Linked DNA regions of Alligator mississippiensis. The protein of the gene in region 3 binds, or shares a complex with, the protein of the main gene of each other region. Links are inferred from orthologs where the notes say so. Each region holds a gene or a part of one and is shown on either strand. Other genes may lie near its edges.

Region 1 (7,146 bases), on a different chromosome or scaffold from region 3:
TTGGCAGACTACCATGAGTAGAAGGCAAAAACCTGCAACAGAAAACATCCTGCCCTTCAACCTAGATAGCTCTTCCCCGTGCTTTCTAGGACGAGCACTCTGGCAGCTGTTAACTGCTGTGACAGCATGGATTTGGAGGCATAGAGGAAGGTTTCAAATATCCAGATCCAAGTCTATTCAAAATATTAACTACACTCGCCAAATCTTGAACAGCTTCCAGATACGAGAAAGGAACCACTACAGTGCTTTCATAAAGATTACTAAAGGCTCATCTCACAAAGATTTGCAGCTGCACCACACAGACCTCAGCTTATATTGAAACTTAACCCCAAAATATGTAACTATATTATAGGCAGCTGAGGCACGGATCAATACATCGAGGTCTGCATTAGAGGGGAGAGGTGTAACCTCTAGGACAGTTGCATCACATCAGAGGCTACTACTAGCACCTAGTACTACCTGCATGAATACAGGAGGTAATGCACCTCCGCAGGACCTACAAGCTATTAACCGCAAACAGACTCAATTCATCAGACATTTTATCACTGTACAATATTTTTCTTTAAGTTTTATAAGAAATTTGACATCCATACTTCTTTTTTTTTTGGTTAGAAAAGACTTATAAATATACATGGTAAGCTCAGTCCTAACTCTAGATGGGAGTAAACTGTAAGCACCAGCAACTGAAGTGATTTTTTTATTATTACATCTCTTTCACACAAAAGCTAACCAAAATCAACTAGAACCATTGGAAATGTGCAGATTTATTGTATGTCTGCCCTCTCTGGTTCTGTGAAGCTAAAACCTTGTCAGAACGTTACAACTATCAGAAATGCAAGCAACTCAGCAGCAACTTAAAGGCAACATATGAGGAGATTTATAAAAACATCTCTTCCGATTCCCACTTTTTACTTCTCCTCTTGGGAGGACTCATTTCTAACCAAGAGTGTGTTGCCAATTATTGCAACAATTAAAAGTTTCATCTGCAAAAATCATTACACAGTTTTGCCCTTCAGTTTGTGCACTTAACAGCGCTTTGTCTATTGTCAGTCTCACCTAGCTGACAGGGGCCTTCTGAGGGTGGAAGCAATCCTCACATATTAGAGGTGTTCTTTAAAAAGTTAGGACTGGAGTACCACTAGAAAATTGCAATTGCTTTTTAAAAACTAATTAGATTTCAAATTGATGCCAGAAACACAACAACAAGAAAAACAAATCCTACAGAGCAAACAGAAGTGTCAAGATAAAAAGAAATCATACATAAGTGGGGAATTATCCTAACACTTAAACTGTGTTGTCCCCTAAAGTCCTTGGGCAAAGAAAGCAGAATACTAGGAAAAGCAGGAAACGTAGGAGAAAGCAACAGCTTCGTTTCAAAATACAGTTCAGCATCAGCAGGCAAAAAAATAACCAGCTTAAAAGCAGAAAGCCAGCAGGAAGTTCAAAGGCAAGGATGCTCGGGGGCAATGTCTTTTATTGAACCAGCTGCACACTGCAATAAAAGATATCACCCACTAGATCAGTGGTTCTCAACCTTTTTCAGTTGACATAGCCTTTGGTGTCAGAGTGAGACTTCATGTACCCCCTTTCAATGGGAAATTAATTTTTTTAGGCCCTTCGACCTCTGTTAGACAGTGTATGAAATATATCTCACGTACCTCCGAATGAGGCTTCACGTACCCCCGGGGGGGTACGTGTATCCCCGGTTCAGAACCGCTGCACTAGACCCTCACCTCCAACATAGTGTGGTGACCATCACCACTCCAGCAGCACCACCCTACCATGTTCAGGGCACTGGGTGGGCACCCTGCAGGACTGGAGTCAATTTTCAGGGAGTCAAAAACCAGGGAAGGCAAGGAAGGGGACACCTCCAACTTCTCCACCTCCCCAGCAGTTACGTCCGAGGAAGTACAAATCCTGTTTTCCAGGTCCTAGTCGTGTCCCACTGCACAAGGCTGGAGCGTTTCAGTACCAGGACCTAGATGATGTTGGGTTTTCTCCCACGTAGCCACGGTGTGAAAACCAGAGACTAAAATAACAGCAGAGCACGAAGCTCCCAGGCTGGCATTGCAGAGCGACAGCTGTACTCCCCTTCACGACCTCCCGTCCCTCTGGTTCTCTCCCGAGCGGCTCCTCTTCGCTCCGACGTCCCGTCAGCCCCAGCCGCTTTCCTGCTCCCGACACGACAAACCCCCTTCCCGCGGGACGTCCCCTCCCTACAGACGGCGGCTGCGGGGTCACATCTCAGGCCCCAGCGGCGTCGCCAAGCGTCCGACAGTTATCCTATTTCAACCCTCGTACGTGTTTGTACGTACGTATCCATCGCACGCGCTTGTACAAACACACGTGGATTCGCACGTTCTCTCAACGCTGACGTCCCGGCAGCCCCAGGCCTTCCCTGTCCCCGGCATGACCGACCGACCAACCTTCCCGCCGGACGTCCCCTCCTGGCGCCCAATTATCCCACCCGTGCCATCGCTTCAACCCTCTGCACGTACGTACGTATCCGCCCTGTGGATGTGCACGTACGAACGAACCCACGGACTCGCACCACGCGCCGCAGCAAAAGCGTTCAGAAGACACGCACGGCCGTTCGGGAGGCCGCGCATCGACGCGACCCCTGAGTCGCTCTTGCCGACACGAGATAACGAAGCGTTTTGGGGAGCGCGGTTGGCGCGGGGAGGCGGCTGGTTTGCAGACCGAGGGGGCTGCAGCCTCTCTTCCCAGCGCACCGGAGTTGTCCACGCTCCCCACACGCTGGCTGCCCCCCGGCCGGGCTGGGACGCGCTCCCCCGCCGCGGGAAGCGGCCCGGCCGCCCCGGGCTGTGGGGACGAGGCGAGGGGGGAGCGAGCCCGACGCTCCGCGAAACTTTCCCGGGCCCAGCCCCCTCCCGGCGGCCGCCCCCCGCCCGCGCCGCTCACCAGGTCCTTTGTGTTTTCCATCAGGCCCTCATGGGCAGCGGGCGGCCGCCGCCGCGCCCGGCCCTGCCCCCGGCTCGGCCCGCGCCGCCTGCGCGCCCCCCCGCCGGGCCCGACGTCCCGCCGCGCGCTCGGGCCACAGAGAAAGAAACCCCAACTCCCCGGGCCAGACTATCAACAACATTAGCATCCCCGCAGTGCGCAGGCGCGGCGAGAGCCCCGGCCCCGCCCCCCGGGGCTTTGCGGCCCTCCCGGCTCGCCGTACTCGCCCGGCGCGCACCATTCCGCGGTGGGGGAAACGCGCGGGCTGCGCTGCCCGGCGGCACACGGCTTCACCTGCTGGTTGTTGCCGAGCTCCTGAGGGGCACGGCGGGGCGGCTCCGTCTCTACAAAGTTCCTGGAGGAGGAGGAGGAGGCGGCAAGCGCAGCCTACAGCCCCCCCGCGCAAAGGGGGCGAATGGACCGGTCCAGCTGTCACATGGGGCAGGAAGCGAGGCGTCACGTGATTGGGGTGGGATTGTCACGTGAAGGGGTAGTGTCACTTCCGCTTCCGCTGAGCGGCTATGGAGGAGCAGGTGGTAGCTGGCGCCGGTATCCTGCCCGGCGCGAAGCGGCGCCGGCGGCACAGGCAGCGGCTCGCGGGCGGTGCGGAGGCCGGCGAGGGGGCGCGGCTGCCGGGCGCGCTGGGCGAGAGCGCGGCGGTGGAGCGCTGCCTGGAGGCGCTGGTGTTCGGCGGCGTCCAGGAGGCGGGCGAGGCGGAGCTGCTGCAGCGCCTGCGGGGCCCGAGCCAGCAGGTGAGGCCGGGCAGGAGCCTCGCTGCGTGCCCCCGCGCCCGCGTGGCGCCTCGAGGAGCGGGTGGAAATGCGGGGGGAGCCGGCAGACGGGAGGGGCTCCCAGCCCTGGGCCTTGCAGCGGGCGCGGGAGGGGTCTGCCAGGCGTCCCACGTGGCGTCCGGCCTCCATCCTGCTGCCCTCGTCCTCGTCCCCCCCTTTCTTTCTCCACCCTTTCGTTGGCGATGTTCATCCTCCTGCCCTGGCTGTTCAAACACACTTGCTGCCGGCCGCCTTCGCTTCTTAATTGTGGCCCCCGTCCTAGGCGGAGCTGGAAGAGACCTCCAGCGGTCACCGAGTCCCGCCCCTGCGTGAGGCAGGATCGTCCCGACCCAACCGTCCCATCCGCCCGTCGTCTAGAGCAGACGGGTTGCGCACCGCTGATTTAAAATGAGACCACCTTTACCACCAGTGACTTACTCACTTCAATCTGATGCATTTTTGTCGTGTTTAAGTAGTTATTAATTGTTAATGTGTACTGCTGATGGGTTGTCTGCGTACCGCCGGTGGTGCATGTACCGCAGATTGGGAACAGCTGGTTTTGAGCAGTGGTTCTCAACTTTTTTTTGTACTAGGACTCGTTTGTAAACATCAATGGCTAGTCCCGACCCGGTGTCCTTCACTCCCAAAAGGCTGCCCCCAGGCCCTACCCCCCCCCCCCCTTTTTGCATGGGTATGGGGCAGCAGGGGCCCTGAGCATCTCCTCGCAGGCTGGGACTCTGCCATCCAGCAAGGGGAAAGCCACGGTTTCCCATGTTTATCTCTGTTAAAGGAGAATCCATTTTTAAAGTTTGTTTGAGACCCTTTCATATGTTCTTGCAACCCACTTTTGGGTCATGACCCACGGGCTGAGAAACGCTGATCTCATCTCTACGTAAGAGTAGATCATGCACTGCACGGCCCCCCCCCCTCAGCCTCCCCAACCTAGGGCTGCACCAATAGAGAGGTTTTTGGGGCCAATACTGATAGCCAGTTTTTAAGGAAGCGTATCCGCTGATACCAATACAGCATGGAGAGCTGTGTGCAGCTGGTAAGTGTGTTGTGGTGGAAGGGGAGGGAAGAGGTGTGGGGGCCCAACCTGCAGCTCCAGATGCTGCTCCAGAATTGTGCCACAGAGACGGACGCATGTGGTGCAGATCCCAGAGTAACTGGAATGGGCACCTCGTGGCTGTCAGCTGGGGGCATGTAGATCCCAGACTAGCCAGAGCAGGTACTATACTACATGCGGTGCCTGCCGTGGCCCGACAACTCTGCACACAGCACCCACTCTAGCCAGTTTGGCACCTGCACTACATGCAGTGCCTGCAAGCACCGTGTGCAGTGTGGGTCCCAGACCAGGAGTGGCACCATGTGTAGCACAGTTCTCAGTGGGGGTGCCACATGTGGTGCAGCCTGGCCAGGGAGGGTACTGGCCGGTCTGAAGTCTGTGCTGTGCACCCCCTGTTATAGTGTGCTGCACACAGTGCCTGTTCTGGCTGCTCTGCGATCTGTGTGCACACAGCGTGGATCCCACAGTGGCTGGAGTGGGTTTTGAACCCAGAATGCCAGGGGAAGGGAGGGGATTTGCAGGCCTGATTCGGTCTGTGGACTGGCTCTGCACCACTCGTTCAGTCTACAGTGATGGATGAGTTTGACACCTGCTACAACTGCTTTGTAGGCAGCCTTTTTTACTAGCCTGCTTTACCTCTCATGAGTCTGTCTTCTAAACTTCCCCTTCTGAGGAAATGGTTTAGCGATGAATTGCCATAGGACTAACATTTGTTTTTTCTATGTGTTTGTCTTTACAGGAGATGGTGATTGTTTACACTTGCTTTCCTGAAAAGTGTCTTCTCAGTTTACAGTTGTTAAATTTGTTATTTTAGGATATGTCTACAGGTACACTTGGAGCTATTTCAAAAGGGAGTGCTTCAAAAGGACAGCAATTATTACTTTATAATTGTTATCTGTGAAGGACAAACTGGTACAATTGTAACACAACTGCTCCAACTTTAACACTGTTTCAACCCCTGCTGCTGCTTAATAAAGCAGCACTGAAGTGGGAGTGGTCTTGCTACATTTCTATTGTTGCTGACTTGTTCCTGAATAACAATTAGGAGGTAACAGCTCTTGCCTTTCGAAGTGTTCACCTCTTAAAATGACTCCAGGTATACAGGTGCCTGTACCCTTAGACTTATGTGTGTTTGTTTGTTTTTAAGCTTGATGGGGTAATCAGTGGAAATCTTCTGAAAGGGGACTCCAGTGATTCAGAAGATGAAGCACAAGACAATTTTCCTCTATCTAAGAAACCAGCCTGGGTGGACGATGACGATGAAATTAAAGAAAAGTAAGTTCAGTACGTAGCGACCAAAAAGGGGGCAGGAGAGGTGGGACTTTGATTAGGTTCCTTTTTAACTGCCTATTTCTTGGAGGTATACTGAGAACAAAGTCATTAAACTTGCAATTTTTTATTCACATCCTAAATATGGCTCTGTTGTCTAGGATTGATATGACCCATCGGTATCGGAAAGACATGATGAAGAGTGATGCCGAGAAGAGTCTTACCAAAGAAAAACTTCAAATAAGACTTCAGGAACAGTAAGGTTTTTTCCTATACAAACAGATTTTGCTAATCATAAATCTTGCTGCTAATTTCAATAACAAGAATTGATCTAATAGCAGTATTAAAAATGCCTCCTTCCCCCCCCCCCCCCCCCCCCCCCCCCGACAACACCTAAATACTCAGCATGTTGCAGTGAAATTTTACTTGTGCTTTTGGAGTAAGCAACCTTGATTTCCTTAGCATTAATCCTGGCATTACTCCTTGAAAGAGAGGATTTGTGTATTTTCTTTTCATTCCAAGGGCCCAGTTTCAAATTTGCGTAGGTATTGTTTCACCAATGCATTGGAACATAGCAGTAGTTTTCGTGCACAGCAATACAGTGGCGAGTAAGAAGGGAATATAAATAAGAAGTTGCCTGAGGGAGGAAAACAGTAGCCGAGTAGAGATCTGACAGTTGCAGTCAGTGCTGGGTCCTAAAAGGAGACAGTGAAGTGTGTTAATCAGTACTATTAGGGAGGAGTGTTTAGTTTAAAGGAGAGAGACAACATTTTGGTGAAGACAGAAGTTGTGAGCCCAAACGTACAGTTTTGTGAATATAAGAAAAAGTTGCTGCCACTAGAAATGTAAATACCTTTGTATTTAAGGGCTTTCTGGAATACATGTGAACATAACCATGTAGGAAAATGTCACTTGTTCAGTTTTGAAGTTACTTCTGTACTTGGACACTTGGAGTCTGTCTTTCCATGGTTAATAAAACCAGCGTGCCCAAGAGTATTTTATAGTTACAGCAGTTTGATCTCAGGCTGTAGAAAGTGTATTTGGTGGGAGCAGACTAGAAAAGCCCTTTAAAAGAAGGAA
Region 2 (7,195 bases), on a different chromosome or scaffold from region 3:
GCAGCCCATGAGCAGTGATGTACTTCTTGTACGCCTCACGGATGATTTTGAAGGCCCGGATGTTGGAGTAGGGGATGTCAGTGACAGGGTCGCGATACACGGCCGGCTTGTGGGTCACAGGGCAGATCTCGCGCACAGGCAGCCGGGGCTGGCGCCCCTTGGGGAAGAGCTGCTCGAAGGTCTCATCGTCGCTGAAGGTGATGAAGGTGCGTGAGCACTTCCCAGTGATGGGGGCCACAGCTGGTGCCAGCGCTGCCTCTGAGGGCTGGTGGAGATCTTGATCCAACCTGGGCATGGGGGAATTACCACTGGGGTGAGTCTGGGCTTCAGCTCCAGGAGACACAGGCATCCAGGGAGAGAGGGAGCAGGGCTACCTGCGCTCATGGCAGCCACCTACATGATCCCCAGGGCCTCTGCTTGGGTCAGTCCATCCCCATCCCCAACCCCGCCCTTCAGAGCCTGGGGTCTAATCCAGGTTGGTACAAGCTAAGGATCTGACCAGGCCCCAAACACCACCCTGGCAGACCTATGTGAATCCATACACACACAGCTCTGGTCCACAGACCATCCCAGCTCAGAGCAGCTGCAAGCCAGAATGTCAGGGCATTGCAGCTGAGTTGCTGGCAGCTGCGAGATGCCATGGCCAGGACTGGGGGCAGTGCCCAAGGACAGAGGTTGGTATGCGGGAGCCGAGCTCCAGGATCTACAAAGGGAAGGGGCACAAGGATTTTATGGAGAAGGGCTGGACTGGGCCCAAGGGTCCCCCTGCGCCCTAAACACCTACCCCTCCACATCCACGTTCTCCTCCTTGACGCCCAGGTCGGTGATAAGGGGCATGGTCACCGAGTGGTACCGGATCAATGGCCCCACGCACTTGCGCTTCTTCTGCACCTGCTTCTTCTTGTCGGCTTCCAGGCGCTCGTAGTTCTCTGCAGGGATGAAGAAACCGGATGTCAGCACAGCGGGCCTGGGGGGGACCTCACTTCAGCGCCTAGGGTGCCAGGCCCCATCTCCTGCAGGTACTTGCCCACCACTGGGACACAACTCAAGGTGACATGTCACAGCAGGCGGGTCAGTGCCCCCCACCCAGGGGGGAGACAGGGGTCTCCCCTAGCAGGCAGCCTTTGCAGAGCCAGCCACAATCATCATCTAGTTCCCAACCATGCACCGGTGAGAAGAGACAGTGCCCATTCACATCACCCGCAGACTTCCAATTAACACTGGGGGGAAACTGAGGGTCAGCGGTGAAACGAATCACCCAGCCAGGTAGCACCTGAGCTGGACAAAGAACCCAGGAGTCCTAGCCACCGCTAACCACCACATCCTGCTCTCCTCTGGGTAGGGAACCCAGGCTGGCAGCTTCTAATGCCTCTGTCTTCTGGGGTCCTTTGCTGCCCGTGAGCCCCACCAGCCCTATCCCTCCATGACCATAGCCCCAGGCCCATCCCAGCACCCTCACTGTACCCCATGGGGTGATGGCCATGGTCCCACCAGCCCTATCCCTCCATGACCATAGCCCCAGGTCCATCCCAGCACCCTCCTTGTACCCTATGGGGTGATGGCCATGGTCCTACTCACCTAGGGAGCGCAGGTTGATCTCCTCTGTGATCTTGGCCTCCTCCAGCAGCTCCTCCTGTGTCAGGGGACGGTCATAGTTGGGGCCGCCCTTCTTGCGCTTGGACTGCACCTGACGCTCCTGAAGGCGCAAGAATGTCTGGCGGGTGTGCTCTGTGGTCGACTGGCGCATGTGCTTGCGGCCTGGTGGGGACAACAAGGTGGGGGGGGGGGTCAGGGGGCACGGGGGACACAGAGCAGGGAGGCAGCCCCAGGCTCCCAGAGACAGAGGAGCCAGGGGAGCTCTGCTAGCGAGTGCCATGCATGCACTTACTGTCCCCAGCGTCATCCTGCAGCTCCAGGGGTGCCACCTTCTCCTCTCGGGCCTTCTGTGAGCTGCCGCTGGGGGCATCGGCCTTCTTGGGTCTCAGGCTCTTGAGGGGCTCCTGGGGGAGTCACAGCAGAGCAGGGTGAGGAAGGGGAGAGCTGCCGGGGGGATGCTACCTTCCTCACCTGTTACCCCTCATGGGTCAGTTCTTACCACCAGGCACCTCCTCCTCCCAGGGAGGCAACCCAGGAGGCCAGACCCCAACTCTGCTGCTGAGTCCAGACCCCAAGCCTCCCCAACGATCCCCTTCCCGCTGTAGCGGGCCTTACCCCCTTCCCAGCCGCCCCTCCCTCAAACATCCAGGTGACCCTAGTGCATCTGTAGCCCCCTTTGACGGGAAGCCCCGTGGCGCACAGGATGCCTGGGTCTTTGTCCCAGACATCCAGCCCCTTGCGCCGTGGAGCGGGCGCCTCCCCTCCCCCAAACCCCCACGGGAAGCAGAGCCCCGGCCACACCTTGTAGGCCTTGGTAACCACGCGGCGCTTGCGCTTGGGCTCGCCGTCCTCCTGGTCGCTGGCCGGCTCCTCGCCCTCGTCGATGTCGAAGTCCGAGTCCACCTCATCGTCGCTGTCCGACTGGTCGCCTTTGTACTCGTCGTCCCCCGACTCCTGCGGCACCGCCCGGACACTGCCGTCAGCCCCGGCCCCCCCACCGGATCGGCCCCTTCCCCAACCCTCCCAAAGGGCCTCGTGCCCCAGCCACAAAGGACCCCCCACAGACCCGCCCCTCTTCCAGCCCTTCCCAAGTGCCCCCCAAAACCTCTCCCCCACTCTCCTATGCCCCAACCCCCCATAGTGCCCACCCCAGATGCCTCCCACCCTAGTGGGCCCTGCCCCCCAATTACCCCCACCAGTAGGCCCCGCCCCCAGTAGCACTCCACCCTAGCAAATGACCCCATAGGCCCCGCCCTGGCAAACTCCGCCCTCCCCGGGGTCCCTCCCGCGTGCGGGCGCACCTCGGTGAAGCCGCCGTACGTGGTCTGGTAGAACTCGTCCTCCTCGGCCTCCAGCAACCCCGAGAGCCGGTTGCCCGCGGTGCGGCGCGGCGCCCTCCCCTCCGCCAGGCTCATGGCGCCGAGCGACGCGCCGACCCGCCACTGCGCGGCCTGGGATCGACCCGCCGGCCAGCCACTGCGCGGCCTGGGAGCGCCGAGAGTGGTGCGGGAGGCGAGCGCCGGGAACCAATCGAACGCTGAGTGATCGCTGGCGGCTGCGCAGGAGGGTGGAGCCTCGCTTGCCCCGAGCTGCCTCCTCGCAGTGGCCCCGCCCCTACTCTAACCCACCACTGTGGTCTCCCATCCAGGTGTTGACCCTTCTGGGCCCTGCTTGGCTTCTAAGATGCTGCGGGCGCCCCAAGCCTAAGCTGGGCGCCCGGGGGGTCGCGCATGCTGCTCCCCCGGCAGCTGCCCCAGGAGATCTGCATGTCTGCACCCAGGGGCGGGCCCTGCCACCCTGCAGGGAAAGATGCCCACGTGTTGGGGCCCCTTTAGCCTTTCAGCCACGGTCTGAGACCGAGGTAAAAGGGGTGCGGATGCTGTGGTTCATTTTCCCAAAGGACACATCACACGTTTTTCTCCCGGTGAAAAGAAACTGGAAGTTTTCATAGATGTTAGGGTCGGAAGGGACCTCAATAGATCATCGAGTCCGACCCCCTGCATAGGCAGGAAAGAGTGCTGGGTCTAGATGACCCCAGCTAGATGCCTATCTAACCTCCTCTTGAAGACCCCCAGGGTAGGGGAGAGCACCACCTCCCTTGGGAGCCCGTTCCAGACCTTGGCCACTCGAACTGTGAAGAAGTTCTTCCTAATGTCCAGTCTAAATCTGCTCTCTGCTAGCTTGTGGCCATTATTTCTTGTAACCCCCGGGGGTGCCTTGGTGAATAAAAAGTCACCAATTCCCTTCTGTGCCCCCGTGATGAACTTATAGGCAGCCACAAGGTCACCTCTCAACCTTTTCTTGCGGAGGCTGAAGAGGTCCAGGTGCCACAGTCTCTCCTCATAGGGCTTGGTCTGCAGGCCCTTAACCATACGAGTGGCCCTTCTCTGGACCCTCTCCAGGTTATCCACATCCCTCTTGAATTGCGGCGCCCAGAATTGCATGCAGTACTCCAACTGCGGTCTGACCAGCGCCCGATAGAGGGGAAGTATCACCTCCTTGGATCTGTTCATCATGCATCTGCTGATGCACGATAAAGTGCCATTGGCTTTTCTGATGGCTTCGTCACACTGCCGACTCATGTTCATCTTGGAGTCCACTAGGACTCCAAGATCCCTTTCCACCTCTGTGCCACCCAGCAGGTCATTCCCTAGGCTGTAGGTGTGCTGGACATTTTTCCTCCCTAGGTGCAGCACTTTGCATTTCTCCTTGTTGAACTGCATCCTGTTGTTTTCTGCCCACTTGTGCAACCTATCCAGGTCTGCCTGCAGCTGTTCCCTGCCCTCCGGCGTGTCTACTTCTCCCCACAGTTTTGTGTCATCCGCAAACTTGGACAGAGTACACTTCACTCCCTCATCCAAGTCACTGATGAAGACATTGAAGAGTATCGGTCCAAGGACCGAGCCCTGCGGGACCCCACTGCCCATGTCCTTCTAGGTCGATACCGACCCATCCACCACAACTCTCTGGGTGCGACCCTCTAGCCAATTCGCCACCCACCGGACTGTGTAGTCATCCAAGTCACAGCCTCTTAACTTGTTCACCAGTATGGGGTGGGATACCATATCGAAGGCCTTCCTGAAGTCTGTATATGACGTCAACCCCTACTCTTGCGTCCTTTTCCTACTAGGCCATGGGCCTGGGGCTGTAGTCTTCACTTGAAGATTTGTTTTTGCATCCATCTAACTTTATTGGAATGAGTTCAAGGCAGTCAGCAGGGCTGTAAAATAGGAGCTCCGTGCCCAGGAGCGTTGCAGAGCGGGTCCTGGCTGGACTGGGGGAACACTGAGGCCATTACATAGGAGAGAGGGTCGTTAACAGCTGCGGAGTGAAGAGTTCAGAAGGAAGCAGGTAGACGAAAGTGAGCCATTAAGTCCACTGATCTGTCAGCGCTGCCTGACTAGAAACACTGCTGCCACTGCAGGCTTTAAACTTTGGGTGGAGCAGGAATCAGAGAGGTGCGCATGCATCAGTGCATCCCCCTGGATCCACCCCTACTGGGGCCTCTGCCCCCACAAGGTTCATGGCCTGGGGGGGTCCATCCACAGGTGAGGGCAAGAGCTGGGACTCTGCCAAGGCCAAGGGATAGCGTGCGTGCATCTCAGCTTACCAGCAGCAGCTGGCAGCCAGCTTGATTAGTCTGATCACAGCAGGGACCTGATAACCTCTGGTCTCAACTCCTGATCCAGGGCTCATTAGATTCCCTTTTATGCTGTTGACTTTAGCTTTCCTGCCATACCTCCTGGCTAATGGCTGGCACAGAAACAGCAGCTCTTTAAACTCTGCTCCATGGATCTATCGCACCTTTTCCCTTTTGTTTTATCGCTGCTAACAATGGTTGCAGTGAAACGGGATCTCCCTGAAGAATTCTGCTGTGAAGCCTTAACTCCCAACATCTCAATGCCCCACACAAACCTGCTGGAAATGTCTTGGGGAACTCAGCCTGGGGTCCCAGAACAAATCAAATGTTTGCTTTAACAAATCGGAGGATTGGACCAAATTAAATCTCATGAGGTTCAACAAGGACAAGTTCAAAGTCCTGCTCTTAGGGTGGAACAAGCCCATGCACCAGTATAGGCTGGGAGTGGCTGGCTGGGCACCAGCTCTGCAGAAAAGGACCTGGGGGTGACAGTGGGCAATAAGTTGAATATGAACCAGCAGTGTGCCCTTGTCACCAAGAAGGCTAACAGGATCCTGGGCTGCATGATCAAGAGCGTTCGTTGTAGCAGATAGAGGGAAATGAAGAGTGTTTGTACTCGAAAGCTTGCAAATAAGATTTTTTCCAACAATTTTGGCTGGTCTAATAAAAGATATCAGATTTACCCAAAGAACCTTGTCTTCCTAGTCCCCTCTGTTTGGCACTGGTGAGGCCACATCTGGAGTCCAGTGGCCAGTTTTGGCCCCCTGCTACAGAAGGGATCTGGACAAGTTAGAGAGAGTCCAGCAGAGATCAACAAAAATGGTTGTGGCACATGATTTATGAGGAGAAACTGAAGGAACTGGACTTATTTAGTCTGCAGAAGAGAAGACAGAGTGGGGATTTACTAGCAGCCTTCATCTACCAGAGGATGCATCTGGGCTGTTCCCAATGGTGGCAGATGACAACAAGGAGCAATGGGCTCCAGTTGCAGAAAGGGAGGTGTAGGTTGGATATTAGTAAAAACTTTCTCATGAGGAGGGTAGTAAAGCACTGGAACAGGTTACCCAGAGACGTGGTAGGATCTCTATCCTTGGAGGTGTTTTAAGACCCAGCTCAACAAAGCCTTGGCTGGGATGATGTAGTTGGGGCTGGTCCTGCTTTGAGCAGGGGGTGGGACTAGATGTGACCTCCTGAGGTCCTTTCCAACCCTCATTTTCTGATTCTATGAATTCTCACCCCAAACTCTGAGTTTCACTTGGAATCAGAACCAAAGATCAGCCTCTGGTTTGTTCAGATCTGTTTTTAGCAAATTTGCAAAAGCTGATTGACAGGTTCCCTGCGATTTCAGGTTTCATAGTGCATGCTTCGAGGGGTGTTGAAACCCATGTTCCTTTTATCACGAAAAATCCACCGCAGCCTGTTGTGATCGGACTTGAGTGGGGCAACCTCATGTGAAGAACAGCACCCAGGGACAGTTGTATCTGGCTTCAGAAACAAGGATCTGCAGGCCAAGTTCAGCCATGGTGTAAGCAGGCACAATCTCATGGAAGTTCAGGGCCATGACACCCACTGAATTTCGTCCGAAAAGAGACATAAGGTAAATCTCAACTTTCAACAGCATAGTCTCTCCTGAGAGAACTTTGCAGCAGTTCCCACGGGGCTTGGATTTGTCTCCGTGTGTTCATGGCACACGTCTGTGCCTAATTAGGTGATCTCAGATGAGGTTTGCAATACACCCAGAAGCACCTCACAAGACTACTGAGGAGATGCATGATTAACCACTTACCAGGTTGCTAAGCTATTTGCTGTGAACACAGCTCCTTTTGCTTAGGTGCTTTTGAACTCAACAGGTGCTTTCACACCCCAGGAATCTCCAGAGCATTTTGCCATCAGGTCATTTGAAAGGTTTGATAGATACAACAAATGTCTGCATTAACTTAGGGTCATAAAAAAGCAGGG
Region 3 (8,027 bases):
GGACCTCAGGAGGTCATTTAGTCCAACCCCTTGATCAAAGTAGGACCAGCCCCAACTAGGCAAAGCCCTCGCTGGGATGATCTAGCCGGGTCTTAAAAAGCCTCCAGGAATGGAGAGTCCACCACCTCTCTGGGTAACCTGTTCCAATGTTTTACTACCCTCCCAGCGAGAAAGTTCTTCCCAATATAGAACCTAAACTTCCCTTGTTGCAACTTCAGGCCATTGCTCCTTGGTGTGTCATCTGCCACCACTGAGAACAGTCCCGCTCCAACCTCTTTGGAACCACTCTTCAGATAGTTAAAAGCTGCTATTAAATCCCCTCTGAGTCTTCTCTTCTCCAGACTAAATAAACCCAGGTCCCTCAACCTCTCCTCACAAATCAAGTGCCCCAGCCCCCTAACTATTTTTGATGCCCTCCACTGGACTCTCTCCAATTTGTCCACTTCCTTTCTGTAGTGGGGAGGCCCCAAAACTGGACACAATACACTCCAGATGTGGCCTCAGCAGTGCTGAATAGAGAGGAATAATCACTTCCCTTGACCTGCTGGCAACACACCTACCAATGCAGCCCAGGATGCCATTAGCCTTCTTGGCAACAAGGGCACACTGGTGGCTCATATTCAGCTTATTGTCCACTGTAAAAGGAGCAAACATTCCAACTCTGGTAGGACTTGAACCCACAGCCTATGAATGACCTTTTTACTGTAGAAGCCCAACGTGCTGTCCACTGCACCAGCGCCACCCTGATTCAGTGCAATTCCCTTTGTAAATAATGCTATGTCGTAAATAGGCAACCAGTACTGCACAGTTTCAAATACTGCATTATGTATAGTGTCCGCACAATATAATGCAACTATAACTTCTATTAATATGCCTTTGTTTCTTCTTCTGCATCCCACGCGGACATATTATCTCCTCCTTCTTTAAAGCACTAAGAACTGAAAGTAGTTTGTGCCACCACCTCTATTTCATTAGAGCCTCCAAAAAAGAAAGCCATACTAGACAAACTCACCTTTCCTAACCATGACACTTCCCAAAGCAAATGCAAAGCAAGCTATACAGTCCACTACCAACTGACCATGAATTCAGTTAAAGAAAACATTGTAGACTTTTGTTTAAAGTGCAGAGAAATAAATATTCACTATGTGTCACTTCTTCATAAAAATAAACTTAAGAAATGTTAGAATAAAATGATTCTTTACATACAAAAGAAGAGGGAAACAATAAGCTGAATAATTATTTTAGTAAGTTGTTGGTAGTGCACTGTAAGAAATAAAATGAGGTTCTCTTACACATGGAACCCACTATGAATGGCTACTATGTGCAAATACAAACTAATTTCCTAAATGAAAGAACACCAGAAAGCAACATGATGCACACAACCACAAGAAACAGTGCATTTAAAATAAAGTAAATAAATAAATAAAAAAATCGCTCAAACAGTGATTTTGTTTAATTACCTCAAAATTCTCACTGACTTCTTGCATCATTTTCAGTTTGGTTTCATCAGCTGAAAAAAATTTCAAGTGAAATCAATCAAATATTTGGAAAAAAAATACTCTCAAACAAACACCAAATTCACAATGGGAAGAAGCAATCAGATCTTATCAGTTCGGCTCTCATTGCCCAATTGAAAGGTACGCATTTCTCACAATCGCCACACTCAGTCCCACCACTTCACACACACACACACACACATACATGCACGCACACTTCTCTCCAGGGCTCAAGCGACTTATGTTCATCATTTTGCTTCTTAAAAAAAGCCAGGCTCAAAGACGCCGCAAATGAACTCCAAGCGATTTTACCAACTCGATCAATACGATCACCTTCCCATGGGACACTTATATACAATTTGCATCCAAGGCCAAATTAGCCCAAACTAATTCCAAATCCAGGAGTCCAGAACCGTAAGCGGCCCTAGTACCGGCATACAAAAAACTAGAACTCTTGGTTCCAAAATTACATCGTTTATTAGACCAACTGGAAAAATCGCAAGAAAACTGTCCTTTTCTGCAAGCTTTTGGGAGTTTTTTTATATCTTCTTGTGTCAGACCAACACGGCTACCAAGTGCACCCCTACTACCAGCAAACATCCTCCACCCGCACCTGGGGCTTCAGATGTTTCCAAAACCTTTGGCGGGCATCCTACGTGCAGGACCAAGCCCGGAGGCTCGGGGTTCGGATGCCCCCGAGTTTTGCTTGCCCTCAGCCATCAGGTCCTCAGAGCAAGCCAGGGAGAAGACTCCAGGACCTGGGCTTAAAGCTGCTGCACCTTGGCGGGCGCCGAACCACGCCAGACGAGCGGCTCTCCTGCGAGGCAGGGCAGGACACAGGTACGTGGTGTTCCCCCGCCAGTTTAAGAAGCCACGACGCGAGCCGGCGAACGGTCCCGTTCCCCGAACAAACGGCAGACGAGCTTACGCGTGTTAACGTCCGTGAGAGCGGCCACAAACTGCAGGTATTTTTTCATCAGGGTGGTTTGGTCGACCACCGTGGGCCCTTGCGTCGACACGAACGCCATGGTGTCTCTCGGGGCCGGCGGGGGGTGCGGCGAGGACTCGCGCCAACGAAAACCAGCTCAAAAAACAAAAAAAAAATTTTTTTTTTAAATCAACCATCTGCGGAGACCGGACAGGGCTTCCACCCCCGCTGCGGCCCGGCCCGGCCCCTGCCGCCGGGACCCGCATCCCCGCCCCGGCACCCTTCTGGGAAAGGCCCCGTTCATTTAATGCGGGTCACTCGGCCCGGCTGACCCGCCCACACCCGGGCGAGGCCTGCGCTTTCCCCAGCTCCCTACAGCGCAGCGCAGCGCAGCACGGGCCGGGCCTGGCGGCGCACGGCTCCGATCCCAACCGTCTCCAACCCCCTCGCGGCCCGGGCCCTGCCCTCACCTCACCTCACCTCACCCCGCGGGCCGCTCCCGGCCCGGCCTCCGCGGCCCCGGCCCGCTCCTTTGTTGCTCCCCGGCCGGGCTGCGGCGCATGAGCGCCTCCCCGCCCCCTCCCCGCGGCGGAAGCGGCCCCCCGTGCAGTTCCGGCGCCGCCGCCGCCCCGAGCATCCCCGGGCCGCGCCGCAGCCCGCGAGCCCCGCCCCCGGCCCCGCCTCCGCCTCGCCGCGCAGGCCCCGCCCCCGCACAGGCCCCGCCCCGCCCCGGGCTTGGCGGCCGTGCTGCGGATCGCAGCGCGGTGGTAGCCGCGGTGATGCGGAGCGCCCGGCCACCAGCACTGGTGGGAGACGGGAGATCTTGCATGAGGCCGAGGGGATTTTTGCAACCAAGAAAACAAGTCTTTAATTGCAAGCTTTGTGGGGCACGAGCCCCCTCCCTCCTCGGGCGCTGCAGAAGAGAGGGCCAAAGCCCTCGTGGAGTGACACGGCCGTGCTGTACGAGCCGTCCGTCCTGGGCAGACGCGGACCCTGGTTCACAGCGCTTCACAGAGGAGTCAGTAGTTCCAGGTCGTCTGCACCCTGGCGGGAGCTCAGAGCCTCCCTCCCCCCCCCCCCCCCCGCTATGAACTGGTGGCCCAGCGGGGTTTTCCATCGGATTTACCGCACAATCCGTCCCTGAAAACCGCATCTTAAATTGAAACGTTGTAACTCGGAACTGATTTTCCCATAGGAAACAATGTTATAAATGGGGCATTGGTTCCTGAACAAAGGCCTGATACCCTATTTTCACCAAAGATACCCCAGAATGTTGTACTCAATCAATTACAGATGAGGCATATAGCTACTTTAATGTATTTATATTGTAAGTGGCAATCATACTGATTTGATAGGACTTCTTTGAGGTGACTGCTGGATGCTTGGCGGGAGTCTTTTCAGGAGTCCTGGCTGCAGGTGTTTCTGGGGCCTCGTCTTTCTTAAAGAAAGTGTCCAAGGAAGTTTGGAGAGATGATCTCCAGGGAGATGACGACGCAGAGAACTTGCTTGCTGGCCTGGCGTCAAGCGTTGTAAAGTTGAAACGGTGGCAATTTATACATGTTGTAAGTGCAAAACGTTGTAACTCGAAACGCTGTAAGTCAAAGGCTGCCTGTATTGACTCCTCTGTAAAATCCTATGAAACAGGAGCTTTCATTTCTACCCAGGAGAGCATTTACCATCTTTTCTCCGATGCCTGATGAAGGGTGTTTGTGCTGGAAAGCTTGCAATTAAAGACTTTTTTCTTTTTTTTTTGTTTGCAAAAAGCTTGTTGGTCTCATAAAAGATCTCATCTCTACTGTGAGTCCTGATTGCCTTCTCATGGCTCTTGGGAGAAGCCCAGAGGGCTCAGTGCCGTCAGGCAGTGGGGGAGCCCCCAGCCACCTGGGTTGCTGCTGCCACATTCCCCCACCCCTCGGGGCTGCATATATGGCCCTCCACACTAGACCCCACATGCAGGGCTTGATCCAGGCCCTGACCCCACAAGCAGCCCCAAGCAAGCTTTTAGTATCCAGCCCCCTTCCCCAGAGATAATGATCCTAATCATCCAAAAATTACCATATTCAAGCCCCCTTTCTGTCTGGACACCCACTTCACTTATAACTGTGTCCAACCCTGCCCCCACAGCCACTGACCAGCCCTGTGCCACTCATCCAGCCCCTGGGGCTAAAAGACTGAGCACTGCTGGTTTAAGCAGTCAAATCCAGCCGCTGCTGAGTACTGAGAGCCAGACACTAGATGGATGAGCACCATGCAAGAGCCCAGATGAAGGGTAGCTGCTGGGAGTAGTTGGCTTCAGAAATATAGATATGACAAAGTGACTCCAGCACAGTTGAAGCTAATAAGCTACACAATCAGCCAGGCACTAAACTGGCCATTTTGTGATCAAGCCACCTGTTTCTGTGCCACTTCACAATAAAATGTTTTAATTCGCCAGTAAGGCAATGTCCCCAGCTTCCCTTCTTCTGAAAACCGGGTGGGATGCAGTTCGTATCAAAGCCCAAGATCAAAAACTCCCTGCCCTACAAAGACATATGTCCAAGCATGCCTGTAAACAGTCCCACACAGAACCCATTTATTTACCCATTAAAGCATCCAGTGCTTGTACGAGCAAGGTCTTCAATTCTGCTTCTTGGGATTATGTCATTCGTTGTGTTCTTAAAATCAAAACCATCTATTTTGCTAAGAGGTATTTCCCCACATACACACTTTTAGGAGAATATAATCACCTATTTCAGTGGTTCCCAAACAGAGTGCACACCGCCAATTTAAACCGATACATAAGTACCACCAGCAAATTTTTCAGTTCAACCTTCGGTACCACCAGCAAAAGTGTGTCAGATAAAGTACTTATAATCAATCTGCAGACGTGTACCGCTGGCGGTGCCCATACCACAGATTGGGAACTGCTGATCTATTTTGTTGTAGATGGGGATATAAAAAAAAAGGGCGATGCAATGCCCACAAAGAGCCTGCGGGGGAGCTGCTGCCGCCCAGCTCCTGGCTGTAAAAGCGGAGCGAGCCCAGGTGGAAGATGAAGTCTGGCTCCCAGAGCTGAGCAGGCAGCGGCAGCTCCCCCGGGTGCTGGCTACAGATGGCCCAGGCTTTTCTCCCCCCGAGCATCTTCCAGGTGGTTTGCGTGGTGCTGGTGCTTTCCCATTTCAGGTCAGCAGCAGGTAAGGTAGATCCGCTCCCCTCTCCATGTAGGGGGTTACTAGAAGGCAGCCCTGAAAAAGCAGTTCACCCCTGCTAAAAATGCACCAGGCTTTATTCCCAGGTAAACCAAAAAATGACCAAGCATTTCTCTGGCTTGCTGGGGAATAAAATGATCAAGCTGGGTTTGCACTGTCATAACCTATATATTGAGACAGTCCTTGTAGTTGCAGGGGAACGGATTAGATGAGCTAAGAGTGGGTTTCTCTTTTTTTTTTTTTTTTCTTCATTGCTAATTTCTACAGTGCCAGTCTAAAATTGGACTGGGATGTAGCTCAGCTGCCTGGAGTAGACAGTAGTTAATTATAAGGATGCCTCTCTGTTTTCCTCAGCTGGATGACTTGTGTTTTCAGCCTGCTTGTGCAGGAGGGAGCAGATGGGAAGGGATCTGCCTGCCTAAGACGGCACCTTCCTGGGGGGAGCTGGCAATGAGCTAGTTCTCTCATGAACATAAGGCAGCTTTCCTTGCCCTACATTCACGGGGGTGGCGCTTGCTTGCTCAAGGTAAGGCTCGCTGTCAATGTTGCTTCCCAACTGGGAAGTACCTCTTCTCCCTGCCAGCTCCTACACCCAGGGGTTACAAGGCACTCAAAGAGTCTGCATCTTTCTGCTCCTTTTTAATGCTGGTGCACTTCATCCTGCAAGGGGTAGAAGGCAAAGAGGAGTCAGGAGAGTTGCATTCAATACCACCCTCTGCTGCTGACTCACAGGGTGACTTTGTGCTAGTCACTTAATCTCCTTCCAAGTCATTTATCAGACTTCATTCACTGTCCCCAGCTTTGTTGAAGCACTTTGAAAACCTCCACCAAAAAGTACTAGATAAGCATAAGGCTCTTTCCCTGGTTTTCACTTCTTTTTTTTTTTTTTTCTTTTTTCTTCAAGTCACATGAACAGGGAACTGTCTGAGGATTAACACTAGCTAAGTTTTTTTTTTTTTTTTTTTTGTTTTTTAAGATCCGCCTCATCGGTGCATTATCTCAGTATCTGCAAACCAAGAGTTGCTCCATGCATTCTCAAATAAAATAGAGAGCATGAGAAGTATTTTGTTGTTCTTGGTATTTCTGTTGCAGTTTGGTAGAGCAGGGCTCCATCCAACCCTGCCAGCTTTACTTGGCACTTGGGCTTTGGGAAATGAAGTTAGAGGAGTTATTAGCAGGGGTGGATTCTCTTCCTACTGAGCCTGGCAGGTGAAAAAAGGTTGAGACCGGAAACCCCATGTCCCTTCCTACCTGATAAGCTCATAACTGGCTTCATGTGAGGAGGGGAAGGAAATATGACCTCCTTATAATCCTCTCAACGGCAGAGAAAAGGAGGAAACCACTTTAGAAGTGTATGCCCCCATCCACCCTCACAGCAGCAATGATTTCTACAAGGGGCACCCTCTATCCTTACTGTACCAGTACATATGAGAGGATGCTACCTAGACCAACCTGCAAATGGAATCGGCTGTATATCAGACCTAGACCCTGTTTACAACTCTGCCCTGCTGTTGAGCCATGTTACCGTGTAGAAGCCATTTAACCTCATTCCACATCAGCTCCATTAGCTGTAAAATAATGCTACTTACATATTACACAATTTGCTTTATTATTATTTTAATAAAGCACAAGTCTCTTCCTTCTCACTGCAGTGACTAACAAGTTTAAGGGTTTGAGGAACTAGCTTGTGTAAATCTGACAGGACACACAGGAGTAAGCAATTGAGAGTAGTAATGCAAATAGAAAAAGCCTCAATCTTACAAGTGTTGCACCCTCTCATTGTTCTCTACATCAAGCCTGGAACTAAGGTTTGTTAATATGGTTTATTTAGGGGAAGGTTATCCTTCCCTAAAGCAGATAATGCATGCAGCTTAGCAATTCTAATTTAAATTAGGCCCTTGGTTCTTTCCCAAACTAGAAGAGAACAAGAGAGCCAAAAAGGCCTATACTCTGGCCTCATGACTAATAAAGACAAAGGAAAAACATGCTTTGATTGGGATGAAAACCTATGACAAGTTTTGATTGAACTCATCTCTGCTCAAAGACATTTGTTAAAGAAAGGCTGTAGTTGGCACAATTTCTGCTATATCTCCAGTTCCTCTCCCCACTTTGAGCTTGCAGCCTTTTTAAACAAAATGAGAAAAGAAGCCGTGTCAGATGCGAGGGAATAGAAGTGTAGCTATAAAAGCCCCACAGTAGCAGGGGTAATGTGGTAATGGAAAGGGATTCCCTGAGTGTGGTGCAATGACAGTAGTGTATACTATTGAATTTCAGTCTTGTTTAAAAAAGCCACAATGAGATGCTACTTTTTGTTAGCTTAAAGTATTAATACAAGCCCCAGTAATGCCTTCTCAAGCCTAAGCCCAAAACATCCTGTCACAATGTACCAAAATTGACAATGGTGCAAGAAGCACT

The links.
Region 1: TRRAP (region 3) and MBTD1 share a complex: the UniProt entries of both Homo sapiens proteins name them as parts of the nuA4 histone acetyltransferase complex. The link is inferred for Alligator mississippiensis from reciprocal best matches to the Homo sapiens genes TRRAP and MBTD1.
Region 2: TRRAP (region 3) and VPS72 share a complex: the UniProt entries of both Homo sapiens proteins name them as parts of the nuA4 histone acetyltransferase complex. The link is inferred for Alligator mississippiensis from reciprocal best matches to the Homo sapiens genes TRRAP and VPS72.

What each region holds. Positions count from the first base shown.
Region 1 is NC_081831.1:10,354,197-10,361,342, reverse strand, and holds the start of MBTD1 (MBT domain-containing protein 1), read right to left. Parts: upstream 3,088-7,146; 5' UTR 2,944-3,087; coding exon 2,923-2,943; intron 1-2,922. Other genes in the region: UTP18 (U3 small nucleolar RNA-associated protein 18 homolog), read left to right, coding at 3,483-3,713, 5,945-6,072, 6,228-6,323. UniProt on the Homo sapiens protein: Chromatin reader component of the NuA4 histone acetyltransferase complex, a multiprotein complex involved in transcriptional activation of select genes principally by acetylation of nucleosomal histones H4 and H2A.
Region 2 is NC_081838.1:20,096,417-20,103,611, reverse strand, and holds the start of VPS72 (vacuolar protein sorting-associated protein 72 homolog), read right to left. Parts: upstream 3,088-7,195; 5' UTR 3,012-3,087; coding exon 2,898-3,011; intron 2,551-2,897; coding exon 2,398-2,550; intron 2,001-2,397; coding exon 1,889-2,000; intron 1,759-1,888; coding exon 1,579-1,758; intron 930-1,578; coding exon 785-929; intron 288-784; coding exon 1-287. UniProt on the Homo sapiens protein: Deposition-and-exchange histone chaperone specific for H2AZ1, specifically chaperones H2AZ1 and deposits it into nucleosomes.
Region 3 is NC_081836.1:47,844,224-47,852,250, reverse strand, and holds the start of TRRAP (transformation/transcription domain-associated protein), read right to left. Parts: upstream 3,008-8,027; 5' UTR 2,905-3,007; exon of another isoform or gene 2,900-2,904; intron 2,581-2,899; 5' UTR 2,525-2,580; coding exon 2,425-2,524; intron 1,511-2,424; coding exon 1,461-1,510; intron 1-1,460. Other genes in the region: TMEM130 (transmembrane protein 130), read left to right, coding at 5,374-5,586. UniProt on the Homo sapiens protein: Adapter protein, which is found in various multiprotein chromatin complexes with histone acetyltransferase activity (HAT), which gives a specific tag for epigenetic transcription activation.